Astyanax mexicanus: one gene and its partner. The protein of the gene in region 1 interacts with the protein of each later gene in a biochemical or structural test. Links are inferred from orthologs where the notes say so. Each region holds a gene or a part of one and is shown on either strand. Other genes may lie near its edges.

Region 1 (6,986 bases):
AGGCCAAATGTATGGAAACACCTTCTCTTTTTCAATGCGTTTTCTTTATTTTCATGACTATTTACATTGTAGCTTCTCACTGAAGGCATCAAAACTATGAATCAACACATGTGGAGTTTTATGTACTGTACTTAACAAAAAAGGTGAAATAACAAAAAAAAAACATTATACCCTAGTTTATTCAAAATAGCTACGCTTTGCTCTGATTACTGCTTTGCACACTCTTGGCATTCTTTCAAAGAGCTTCAAGAGGTGGTCACCTGAAATGGTTTTCCAACAGACTTGAAGGAGTTCCCAGAGGTGTTTTGTTGCCCCTTAGCCTTCACTCTGTGGTCCAGCTCACCCCAAACAATCCGGTTTGGGTTCTGGTCCGGTGACTGTGGAGGCCAGGTCATTTTTTTGATAAGTACATAAAACTCCACATGTGTTCATTCATAGTTTTGATGCCTTCAGTGAGAATCTACAATGTGAAATGAGATGAGAAATGGCTGAAATAACAAAAAAGATATGGAGCTTTCAAAACTCAAGTAATTTAAATAAAACAAGTTCATATTCATAAAGTTTTAAAAGTTCAGAAATCAATATTTGGGGGAATAACCCTGGTTTTTAATTACAGTTTTCATGCATCTTGGTATGCTCTCCTCCACCAGTCTTACACACTGCTTTTGGATAACTTTATGCCACTCCTGGTGCAACAATTAAAGCAGTTTAGCTTGGTCTAATGGCTTGTAATCATCCATCTTCATTTTCATATATTCTAGAGCTGTATATATAAAATTGGAAACGAGAACAGTGTGAATTTTCTTTTTGCTACGAGCAGCAAATGAGTTTTACTCTGATGGCCCATATGGCCCTAAAATAATATATATGATATTTTAGGGAATGTGTGCAATAACAACATACATTTGTTTGGCAATATTATTGCACACAATACGATATGGCGCACCCCTAATTGCTGCATGTCTGAAGTTTGGGAAATAGTACATTGACACTACACAACAGTACTAGCAAAATGTTTTTTGGACAAAGATTGAACTGTTGCTGCACTGCATCTGGCATAACAAAAGTCACTGCACATCACCATTAAAACATCATCCCAACCATACATAAGTATGGTGATGTGAGAGTGTCCTTACATCAGTTGAAACTCTTTTGAGGTTGGGTGATGCAACAGGACACTGACCCAAAACATCAAAGCAGCGGAGCAGATCCACAACAGAATGGCTTATGAGAGTGGCCAAGTCAGAGCCCAGATCTCAGATGCTGGATTGACTGGATTGAGGCATCCAAGAAATATGACAGAGCAAAAGCTGTTCTGCCAGGAAGAAAGGGCTAAAATTCCTCCTGAACAATATGCAGGTCTGATCCACAACAAATGCCTGGCTGAGGTAATGGCTGCCAGGGGCAACCACTTTAAGTTTTGAATGGGGGTGCTCTATGTTATTTTACGCATGTTGCATTTGTTAATACCCTAGAAACTAGTAACTAGTAACTTCTCTGGATGACCCGGTCCATCCAAAATACTTACCGGGTCCTACAGGTACTTTAACTGTACATATAAATAAAGAAAAACAAGCAACAAGAGTGTAACAACTAGGTAAGTTTCTGAAACTTACCTTTTACTTTCCCAACAGGTATGGTGTAATTGTTCACTATAAATCAGTAAATACAAAATACTTATTGGGTCCTACTCGTACTTAAATCTTAAATATAAGTACAAGTAAAGCACAGGGGAACCTGCAATTTCCCTAAACTTATGTTGCAATTTTCATGAAATAATATATATATATATATATATATATATATATATATATATATATATATATATATATATATATATATATATATATATATATATATATACACATATATATTATTTTGCCCTTGGTTCATGGCAGTTATGAAGGCTTGATTTCAGTCACCCTCCAGGGAATTATTATTCTATTAATTTTATGAGTTTGAAAAAAGAAGATTTTTTAAAACTGTCATGGGTGGAGTAGCTAAAAACAGTCAGAGTGGAGCAGGAAGAAAACGTACAGCTTAAAATTCAAGACTAAAATACAATAATATATATATATATATATATATATATATATATATATATATATATATATATATATATATATATATATATATATATATTCTCAATAACAAAATCAGGAATGCAGAGATTTTAAAGAAAATATATTAATTAATACACAAAAACTACAAGGTTTTATATTATTGGTTAATAAACCCACACCTCACCTGATTTTTACTGTTTTTACTCTATAAGTACACAGTACTTCCTCAGTAAGTAGTTAGAAACAACAGGGAGTGGGCTGTATTATGTAGTGTACAGTGTTTCACTGGTCTTACTCTGTAAGTACACAGTACTTACCCTCTAAAACGCGGGCTGTATTATAAAGCGTTACCAAATATAACTGTTGTTGTGTCATTTATGTTTACGTTTATGTAACCTTAAAGTATTTACCTTAAATATTTACAGTCTTGTACCCACAATAAGAAACAAACATAAATGAGCTGCTCACTAAATTCATCTGAATTCATTCTGAATATTGCTACATCAATCAGTAGCAATGTTCAGAAATGGTCTGGGCTATTATGTCAAAACCAGAAAGGTATAGTAACGAAGTAGAGGTACTACTGTTCTTAAGTACTAAAATGCTGTATCTTTATCTACTGGAGTATTATTTTTACTTCACTACTGTACTTAAGTACTAAAATACTGTATCTGTGTCTACCTTAACTTCACTATGTATTTTCCACAAGTTTAATACTTTTACTACAATATATTATTTTATGTGCTAATTCATTACTTGATTCAATTATAAAAATTCCCCATTTCACATTATCACAAAGCAGTAGATGATGCTGCTCATTCTTGAGTGAATCAAGAGATCAAACTTATCTTATAAGGGCTCTGAGTGGTTCAGCCGGCTAGCGCCTGCCACTATTATCAGGAGATTTCCCGTTTGAATCCTGTTCATGTAGCTTGCCATCAGCTGCCGAAGACCTGAGAGAGCACAATTGGCCTTGCTCTCTCTGGGTGGGTAGATGGCACACTCTCCCCGGGTGATGTCGATCAGCACAAGGCGTCTGTGAGCTGATGTATTAAACCTGAGTTGATGCGTTTTCCTTCGAGCGTGCTGTGATTGGAAAAGAGGTGGCAGTTGGAAAAAAGACAGTGGCTGACATCACATATATCGGAGGAGGCATGTACTAGTCCTCACCCTCCTGGTGTTGGGGCATCACTAGTGATAAGGGGGGGTCCTAATGAGTGGGTTGAGTAATAGGCCATGTAAATTGGGAGAAAATAGTCTAAAAATTAGAAATTTTATAGGAAGACCTCGCTGCTCCCGTTCTGCCTTTTACTTTCAGAACTCCAGTACTACATTTTACAATAAACTACAATACTTGCAATACTTAAATACAAATACTTGAATACTTTAGTTCTTCCACTTAAGTGTGTAGCTTAAAGAACACTACAACTTCTACTTAAGTCACTTTTTTGATAGAGTACTTTTACTCAGGTCTTGCTCTATAGTGTTTTATACCGGTCTGGTTATGAGCCAGGCTTCTCCAGTGTCTGAAAACAATCTGTGCAGCTCACCGTGAGTAAAACAACCAGTCCAGCTTTAATTCCCCACTCAATTAACCCAGTGCACAATCACAATAGATAAACAACACACCACACTGCATTACCAGAGGCAGCTGCTGGAGTCACAGCCTGCCTCCCGCTCTGTAATTGGCTGATACCCAGCCTCGTTTAGTTTATTTGGCCAGCAGTGTCCCACCTGCAGCGGTGTGATTGGATTTCTCAGTTTGAGTCCTGCGCTGGGATTGGATAGAAGTTCATATTCTTCAGTTACGGGACAAGCTATGAACTCCGGCGGGTGCGAAGTCTTAGCCAATCGGGGTGCGGTGGGCGTGGCCTGTCGGAGACCCAGTGGAGCCCCGCCCTTCCCCTCCCGTGCCCGGGAGCGCGCCTGCCTGCGGGAAGCTCGTTCCTGAACTGGCGGAGCGGAGCTGAACTCGGAGCTGTACTCGGAGCGCTGCCCGCAGGAAGTTTTACAGACTGAAACGCGCTGAGGGAACCGCAGCACGGGAATACACACTCTCCGCAGGATTATTCCCAGCCTCCGGGGAGCGTTGAGGAGTTATTGAGCGGGTGATTATGGACTAAAGTCCGGCGGAGAGCGATGGAGGCGGTGAGAAGTTTAGGGCTCGTGCTGGCGCTGCTGGCCGGGGCCGTGGCGAGATCTGCGGGGAGAGAAGGTGGGTCAAACCGCCGCATTCCTCAACCAAACACTCCCCCAAACCCCGGCCTTCACCGGAGAACAGCCGCTCACAGCCACTGCAGCGTGTTTATAACCCATAGAGCGAAATGTTTTACCCTAAAATTACTTTAACAATAACTTAAAGTCCTAGCTTAACTTTTTAATGGTAAAAACTTACTTCTACTCACAATTTTTCCATGGTAAAAGCTCTAACTTACTACATCTACTGTATATCAAACTGTGTAATTTTGACTAGCCATATGTTTTGACTTAGCATTTATTTTTATTTCACATTGTCCTATCTATAATTACTTAGCTACAATTACATTTTTTTGCTAGTAAATGTAAAATTATTCTGAGATAAGAGAGAGTGGGGAAAAATATGAAATTCCATGTCAATAAAATAAAATATCAAACAAAATATCAACGTTAAAACAGTAAAATTAATCAAACACTGTGTGACCCTGGATCCAGGCTAATATCTAGTCTGCAGGTTTGATTATGTTATTACTATTAAAAATGAACTGATATCAGAATTAGAAGTAGTACAAACTGTAATACAGAAATCTTGAATTTGAATTTCTTGAGCTATACTAGTATTATAGAGTTAGGACTAATGACTGGGCGATATTGTAGAAAAATAATTTTGATATACTTTAGATATAAATGATTAACGATAATGATTATACATTTAGTTTTTACATAACATCTTCATTTGCACCATTTTAAGTGATGCACAAGCTACTGTTTCCTTTACATTTAATTCAAGAAATGTTTTAGTTTTAGTAAGCAGACCCCTTTAACTTCACATGCAGCTTTTATTTCAAACACAGTGCAAACATAACCTCCTTGACAACAACAGCTGATGTGGATATTTAGACTTTCTGACTAGGAACAATATAAAGGCTCTCAAATCTACACCTAAAACCAGGCCTTTTTAGTTTTCAAAACAGTACTTATGGTCAGTTTATTTAGACTGTTTGACCAAAAAAGACCAAATTTGTAGACCAAAACTAAATCCGGGCCTTCAGAGTTCAAACATAGCCTCCTTGTACTTTAGTTCAGGGAAAGTATAAAATATGAAAATCACTGAAAACCACACATAATAGAGTTCTTTATAGTTTTCTATCTATTGAGATCCACTCTGGCAACCTCTATATGTACATATATACAGTCTCTATTTCCCCATTTTGAAAACCACATAAAACAGTAATTCCATTAATTAATTTGATTAACCTCCCAGCCCTACTTAGGACTCATATCCCTGTTGTGATTTTAGTCTAAAACAATTGTCCATATTGTAGATATAAAAGGGCTGTGGCAGGTTTTTATAGAATTTCAGGCTGCCTACAGAGATTTACTCAAGTGTTTCCACCACAAACTGGCTTTACCACTTTACTGTGACTGACAGCAGAGAGCAATCAACAAACTCAAATCATAAAACCTGCCTTGTAGACCAAAACCTAAGCCTAAGGCTTTGGTCAGGAGCAGTGAGCTGTTTTGGTGTGGGTATCTAAGAATTTCTCACTAGAAAAAGAAAGAGTAGAGTACACTTTAAAACTTGAAAACTTTAGTTTTAGGCAGGTACACAGTGGACAGCAACAACTGATGTGGATATTTAAGACTTTTTAACTATAAACACTTTAAAAAAGACTCTAAAATGTGGACAAAAAACAAACTCAGGCCTTTTAGGGTTTAGTTAGGTTTGCAGAACAGTACTAATGTTAAGGTTATTTAGACTTTCTGAATAAAAAGATGAAAATTGTAAAACAAAACTAAATCCAGGCTTCAGTGTACACTCAAGTGCTTACATCTCAACACTAAATGATATTAGCCTTTCTGATGGGAAAAACCTTCACTTTCAGACAAAAAATACACTCTATACAAAACTATCATTTAATTTATATATTTATTAAACACTGAACATTTATGTGAAACACAACATTTAATCTGTCCCTAGTTAAAGTAAAATATATCAATAGACTTTTATATAAATTCACAAAATATTATTTAGATACTCTATAAATACAAATACACTACGACAGTAATACTTAACATGAGTAAAAAATTGAGTAAAACCGAGCATTTTTAACTGCACCATGTATAATCTGTTATCCTATGAATTCAGTCAAACAGAAAGTTCTTCAACTAAAAGACAGCTTTACTGAGATTCTAGGCCTTCGATTTTAGTTTGATGTGCAAAGAAGCTATAGGTTCTGATTTTAAAGTCTTCATCTGTAGGCTAAACCAAACCTAAACTCAAGCCTGTTTAGAGGTTAAAGGACATTCAAATTTAGGGCGGCACTTTATTGGAAAATATTACAATATTAAAAATGCAGTTGTTAACACCAACTTTTGCTAGAAGTAGGTGAGCCAACATGGCCTGGTATTAATATTCTGTGATCATTCATGCTGATGCATTAAAGCTTTAAAAAAGTAATCTCACCTGGCCAAAACTACACCAGCACTACCCATTTTTATAGACCGAAACTCTGTTTAAAAGAAGCTAGATGGAAAAAAAAAATCTCAAGGCAGCTGAATCATCAGGTGTTAGAACTGAGGTCACTTCATGACGGTCCTCAGTGGTCGGAATGGTGTTGACGGCATTGCACCTGCCAGTTCTAGGCTCATTTCCAACATCTAAAAACACACAAACAAAACTTTACAAACTTCAAATGTAGTTTAACTTCGCACATGTGTCCATAA
Region 2 (7,236 bases), on another chromosome or scaffold:
CACTCTCACACCATTCCAATCTATTCCATGCCTTATTTTTTATTGATTTATTTTATTTCATATATATCATTTCAAAAGGCAAGTCCAATACCTTGGGCCCTATTTAGTGTATCTTTGCTATCGTAATGACGGAAAAAGTATGCCAATAAAAAAACGCATGTACTAATTCTCTTAACTAATTATGGTTTTTTTTTTTTTTAACATAACATGAAATAAAACAGTCAGCGTGTCACTTGCCATTTCCTATAAAAGCAAGGTGCACACGCTCTGACTTTGGTGGATTGCTATTTAAACAACGCAGCACTTCTGTGCTTCTTAGAAGAGGAAGTGAAGGTGTGTAAGCAGTTCATTTCTGAGAACAGCAATGTTATTTTATATAGTGTTCTGTGAAAAAATTAGGTCTGTGCACTGCTGTATGCCATTGTGTGTGTGTGTGTGTAATAAAGAGGGGTGTACAAGATAGCAATGAACGTCTGACTAATGACGTCTGCCTAGGTTAATATCGGTCAGTGGTGCACCTGTGTTTTCCATTGGAAAAATAAAATACAAAAAATTTACCAAAAATAATCCTCAAAAATATAATTCTAGCAGAAACCGAGTAACACGCCACTAAATACTGGAAGTGCGTTAGATAGATAAAGACAGCTTAGATCCCAGAAGGACTACAAGACGGTTGCTGAATATAGACACAAAACATGCTTACACTCCCCACTTTACCTGAAAGTCAAATAAAATCAAGAGTACTCTTGGAAAACAGCCTTTCAAACACAAAGCAAATGTGCCAGGAAAGTATTCCATACATCTTGAAGGATGGTGAGTCAAGACAAGCCACATTAGTAGCTGGAAGATCTCTCAGTATGGATGTGGTTTTGACCGCTGCCATTTAGGCCAGTGTCAGGGTTTTGTTTTGTATCTAATGCAGGGAAGACTACGGGAAGTCACTGGAGGAAATGCTGCAGTGGGGTTAGTTACATGACTGAACTTTTTTTTTTTAGCCTATCGACTTGTTTCTTGCAAATAAAAATAAACAATTATAGATAACTACAGCTCAAAATATAAAAAGAAGGAATATATACTGGTAAATTAAAAAGAATTAAGACACACACAACAACGCTCACATACTCCACTTCACCTGAAAGTCAAATAAAATGAAGGAAAAGCCTTTCAAACACACAGCGGAAGTTAAAGCCACCACCCGAGTGTAGATGCCTTTCTTCCATACATCTTAAAAGATGGGAGATCAAGAAATGAGATTAGTCGCTTCTTGATGACCACTGCCGTCATTTTGGCCAGGGTCAGGGTTTTAAATGTTATACAGGGAAGACTACACAGGAGGTCAGCTGGCTACCTGATTATACTGAATATAGACCAGGTTATCCAATCAATGGGTTTATTTTTTCTTCCCTGATGATACGACCATATTCCAAGATGACAATGTCAGGATTCATGGGGCTGGAATTGTGAAAGAGTTCAGGGTTCAGGAAGCATGAGACCATCATTTTCACACATGGATTGAGAGAGTTCACCACAGAGTCCAGACCTTAACCTCATTGAGAATCTTTGGGATGTGCTGGAAAAGACTTTGTGAAGCGGTCAGACTTTACCATCATCAATGCTGAAAGAACACTGGATTTAAATAAATCTAAATAAATAAATGCCACAGTGAATGCGTGCTGCAATCACAGCTAAAGGAAGTCCAACCAACTATTAAGCCCTATTTGGACAGGATTAGTTTCTCAGGGGGACGTCTGTGATAAATATTTCACAGTTCTACTCTTAAGAGTGTTAAAACTGTTGCATCTGGAACGCAATTAAAAAAACAAGAGGACCAGTGATTATTCTTGGCTTTCTCAGTCACACGACATCGCGTTCAGTAGCTCCTCCATTTCCACTCGCTGTTGTGTTTACATGGATCTCCATAGAAACAAAAGTGCACCCAAAGTGTAATTACGGTGTGTGGCAGTGGACAAATAGCCGTTTTTATTAAACGTAAGGTGACGAAACTCAGAATGTCTGAGAAAAACACATACATGGTCGTTCCGGATTGGAATAAAATCACAGAGGACCACCTATAAAAGAGAAAATTACCCCAGGACCCCCTGAGAAACTAATTCCATCCGGATAGGGCTTTTTTTTTGGCCAGACAGTGTATATTGGTCCACCCTATCCACAGATCACACAGACAGATAAGCAGACCCTGGCTAATATATAAGATTATGTTAGCTACTGTATAAGGAGGACCAGTCACCACCCAGTTAACCTAGCTGGCTAATACCATCATAATACCGGTGGAGAAAAGACTACACACTGACGGTTGGACAGGACAAGCAAGTTGGCAATTAACTTAATTATATAAATAAATAAAATAATTATATAATGTTAAATATGTTGTTGAGTCCAGCTGACCTTAGCCTCCTCGCTAGCTAGACCAATAAATCCAACAGAACCACAAAAACTCAGAAAGGCTCACCTGAATGCTGGGTGAACACGTTGACCCCCGGGTCCGGCATGTTAGCAGCAGCGGTCAGCCTGCATGCGGGAGCCGCAGCGCTGGCAGCGTCCCTGGGTCTCCTCCCTCCGCCACCGCCGCTGGTCCGGGCCGCTCTGCCCGGGTGCTGCTGCTGCTGGAGCTGGGGCTGGAGCTGTGGCTGTGAGTGGGGCTGGGGCTGAGGCTGCGGCGGGCTCTGGAGCGCCGGAGAGCCGCCGTCCCCCACGCGGCCTACCTGCTGCCCCATTGTGCGAGCTGTGCGGGAGAAAAGCCGAACCGCAGGCCGAGCTGAGGGACACCGCGCTGTCCGGCCGGATCACATCCCCCCCGGCCGCGGGTCGCAGCGGCCTGCTGGCTGTTCCTCCTCCCCCTCCACCCGCGCCTGTTCCCGATTCGGAGCCCGAGCCCACCCAGCGGTCTGCAGCGCCTCTACCCGCGCAGCTCCGCGGCTCCGAGCAGCGTGTCGCCGGGCCGGTAGCGGCAGACCCTCCCCCGGTTCCCCGGTTGCCGCAGCTGCGTGTTTTTAATAAAGCGGCTCCTCCGTTAGGGCTCCCTCCGCTCCGCTACAACCACTATGCGCCCCCTCTGACGCCGCCATCTTTACCGCAGAATCAGTGGCGTGCAGGTCTCCAGCCAATCAGAGATTTGGGAGAGGGGATGGGGCGTGGTTAATTTCAGGGGAAGGCGGTGACTAACTTAGTCACGCCCATAAGATAGTAGCTACTGCAGTATATATTACTAATAAAATAATTAATAGACAGGATATAAAATGTAAAAATACATGGTCGTTCCGATGGGAATAAAATCACAGAGGACCACCTATAAAAAAGAAAACTACCCCAGGACCCGTATTACTACAATAAAATAATAAAATTATAATAACAATAAAAAACAATAAAATAATGAATAGATAGGATATAAAACGTAAAAGTAAAAACTAGTATAACAAAAAGACAAGTTAGAAAAGTTTTTTAGGCTTTCACTAATGACACCTTCTGGCAACATTGCTACTCCAATAATACAGTATAATTAGAAAACAATTAATAATAATACAAAACAATAAAATAATTAATATATACAAAATGAAAAAATAAAAAGTAGTATAACAAATAGACAAGTTAGAACAGTTTTTTTTAGGATTTCGCTAACCACGCCTTCTGGCAACATTGCTAGCTAGCTAGTCAGTAGTGTGTAATGGAAATAGTGCAGTTGAACACAGTAGACAGTGAACACCAGTATAATGATGTGCATATAATAAAGTACAAAAAGTGCAAATACACAGTTATATACTAATTTAAATTTGCAGTGAAAGCTTGTGCAAAATCTACTAGTGCAAAAAATGTAAAAAAAAAAAAAATGCTACTCCAATAATACAGTATAATTAGAAAATGATAAATGTATATTTAAAAAAACATAAAATCAATAGACATAATATAAACAAACTGACACATTAAAACATAACAAGGCTCTGACCTCGCAACATGTTTTCAACAATGAAACTGAATTGCATTTGAAGGAATCAAAATGAGTTTTATTAATACTCTGGGCATCCTGCGCTGGCCTACATTGCTGTGTTTAGTGATGTGAGGTCTCTCCAGTTTGCTGTTCTTGATTTAATCTGAATCTACATGAAGTTTGGTGGTCTGTAGTGATGGACTCTGTGGAAATTTGGTTCCTCTGAGCACTATTCTATAGTGCAATAATATGATTAATAAAACAATTAAATAATTAATAGATCAAATAAAAACTAATTTAGCAAATTAGACAAATAAGAACAGATCGTTTTTTTTAGGATTTTACTAACCACGCCTTCTGCCAATATTGTTGTTATTATTATATAATTTAAACAAATAAGGATAATGAAACAAATAGACATAAACTAACAAACTGACACATTAAAACACAACAAGGTTGTTGTTTACGATTTCATTAGATACACCTACTACTACTACTGCTATATCAATAATATAAATAATAAATTTTACTATATAAAACAATAAGTATAGCTAGGCTAACAAAATAACAAATTAGAACATATAGTTTTTTTCAGAACATAAAAACGGGTATAGTATATACATAATTTTATATCATTTTATTTATTTATTTATTTATTACATTTCATTTATCTTTTAACATTTCTCAATACACATAATCGGTGACGTGCAGATCACGGACCAATCAGTGATGTCAGAGCGGGGAAAGGGGCGTGCCTAACAACGGGATAAGGGAGGGGACTTTAGCTGGACAAATAATTGAAAACAATAAAAGAATCAGAATCAAACATGATAAAAATGTATAAAACCAATAGACTTTCAAACATATGATAGTATATGAGAATTTTTAAGGTTTTGTACATTTCCAGATATGGTATTTGTGCTTTTATTTTGCTTTGTTTTCTTTTCTTTTCTTCCCCTTTTAACCTATTTCTAATAGGGCTGATTAACCATTATTTGTACAGTTTTATTTTATTTGGACTTTACTAAGTAAACGTTTGATCAAAATTTGATTTAATATCATTTTTTATATTTGCATCTCAATTTTAAGCATTTTATGCAGGGATCATAGATTTTATTATTACAGATAAACATATTTTAGCTATTAATATAAATGTATAATGTCCAAAGACATGCTGGGTCAGACTTCTTACAAATCTAAAGACAGGACAGCGACTAAACAACAAGGCCTTGTTGCAGATTTCCCACGTCGCTCTTCATGAAGCCACGAGTGCCGCCAAACTACTGAACGCATGTGACTTTTATCTGCTGTTTAACCCATAACCCTGTCCTCTGAAATCCATCACACCCACCCATATGCACACAGAGTCTGCAGACCATCATTCATGCAGTAGATCTTAGACGACTGCAAAATGTATTTTTTGCACTTTCTTAAATATATTTACTCTAATGTATTTACTTAAATGTAATTGTTGGCTTTGCAACAGATCAACACAAAGTAGCAAGTAATTGTGAAGTAAAAAGAAAAGTACACATGGTTTTTAAATGTTAATAATAAATAAAAATAAGGGCTCCTAGTAGTCAAGCAGACTAAGGTGCTGCCACTATGATTCTTGATTCGAATCCCGATCATGCAGCTTGCAATCAGTTGCCGAAGCCCTGCGAGAGCACAATTGGCCTTGCTCTCTCTGGGTGGGTACAGTAGATGGCACTCTTTCCCCTCATCACTTCTAGGGTGATGTTGATCAGCACGAGGCTTCTGTGAGCTGATGTATCAGAACCGAGTCGCTGCACTTTTCTCCAAGCGTTAGTGCTGGGATGCTACTCGGTAATGCTGCATCATCAGCAGTTAAAAAGAGGCGGAGTCTGACTTCACATGTATCGGAGGAGGCATGTGCTAGTCTTCACCCTCCTGGTGTTGTAGCATCATTAGTGATGTGGGATATACAGCTGACTTGGAGCTGAATGGGTCTGACAATTGGTCAGAAAATGTAAAATATAATATTTAAATAAATAAATAAGATTACATTATAAAAAGTGTGGTGTGTATTTGTATTCAGTCACCTTTACTCCGATGCCCCAAAATAAAATTCAGTGTGACCAATCGCCTTCAGAAGTCACCTAATTATTAACTAGAGTTAATACACACCTGTGTAATTTATTTTCAGTATGAACACAGATGTCCTTGAAGAAAATTAGTAATTAAACTGCATCATTAAAACCAAAGAAGACACCAGACAGGACAGAGATCATACCTGTCAAGTCTCCCGTTTTGGCCGGGAAACTACCGTATTTTACTCCTCTTTCCCGCTGTCCTCCCGTATTAGTATTTTCCCGTAAATTTCCCGTATTATATTAAAATAAAAATATATATATTATTGAGGAGAAAGGGAGCTGACTGCTCTGTGTCTCTTAACCAATCGTGCAGCCGGTTCAAGGAGAAAGTCCCGCCTTTCAGGAGAAACAGCCAATCAGCTTGCAAAGGAGGGTCAGTGTGGGGAAGCCACAGGCAGCTAGTCGGAGCAGCTGATGTTAAAACATATCTGGATATACAGCGATTTTTCTAAAAGAAAGGGAACGGTAGGCTAATCATGTAAACTATGATGAGATTTTTCTGATAGCTGCTTAAAAATACTCGTCTCTGAAATAAAACACTCAGATTAAACCTTTTAAAATAAAAAAAAACAGTTAAAAATTAACTAAACTGATCAGGGGTGGAGTGATCAAAAGATTCAGTTTGCAGAATTTGTGCACCCTTTGTTCAATTTTAAATCCATTAAATAAATAAAAATATATTATAAAAAAGAGTGCATTTATGCCAAAAAGACATGAAATCTTAACTTTTAAAAAAATATTTGGAAAAGTGTTTTTAATTTGGCTGTATTAAAAGAATGACATATGTAGGAATGTCCGCAACATTTCAGATTCTGATAATCTAATTGTGTGTAAGTGGTTCACATGTCGTTATTTTAGATTTTTTTTGTAAACCTGTCTTAAAATGTAAGGGATACTGAACCTACGTTGGGCTGGTGGGACAACTTTAAGCGGACAGAGGAAAATATCCCTTATTTTTTAATCTAAAATTTGACAGGTATGAGAGATAACACTGTGGAGAAGTGTAAAGCAGGGTTAGGTTATAAAAACAGAGCACTCCTTAATCCATCATCCCAAAAAAAAAAAAAAAAAGAGAACAGCACAACTGCACACCTTGCAAAACATGGCTGTCCATGTACACTGACAGCCCAGGCAAGAATTGTCTGTAATCCATAATCATCAACAATAAAATAAATAAAC

Evidence for each region. The genes of interacting proteins can lie anywhere in the genome.
Region 2: the proteins of erbb2 (region 1) and abl2 form a complex in vitro, tested with the Homo sapiens proteins (3 studies listed by BioGRID and IntAct, with this or other methods). The link is inferred for Astyanax mexicanus from reciprocal best matches to the Homo sapiens genes ERBB2 and ABL2.

What each region holds. Positions count from the first base shown.
Region 1 is NC_064422.1:4,071,287-4,078,272, forward strand, and holds the start of erbb2 (receptor tyrosine-protein kinase erbB-2), read left to right. Parts: upstream 1-3,976; 5' UTR 3,977-4,202; coding exon 4,203-4,278; intron 4,279-6,986. UniProt on the Homo sapiens protein: Protein tyrosine kinase that is part of several cell surface receptor complexes, but that apparently needs a coreceptor for ligand binding. Essential component of a neuregulin-receptor complex, although neuregulins do not interact with it alone.
Region 2 is NC_064419.1:45,074,058-45,081,293, reverse strand, and holds the start of abl2 (tyrosine-protein kinase ABL2), read right to left. Parts: upstream 3,082-7,236; 5' UTR 2,736-3,081; coding exon 2,471-2,735; intron 1-2,470. UniProt on the Homo sapiens protein: Non-receptor tyrosine-protein kinase that plays an ABL1-overlapping role in key processes linked to cell growth and survival such as cytoskeleton remodeling in response to extracellular stimuli, cell motility and adhesion and receptor endocytosis.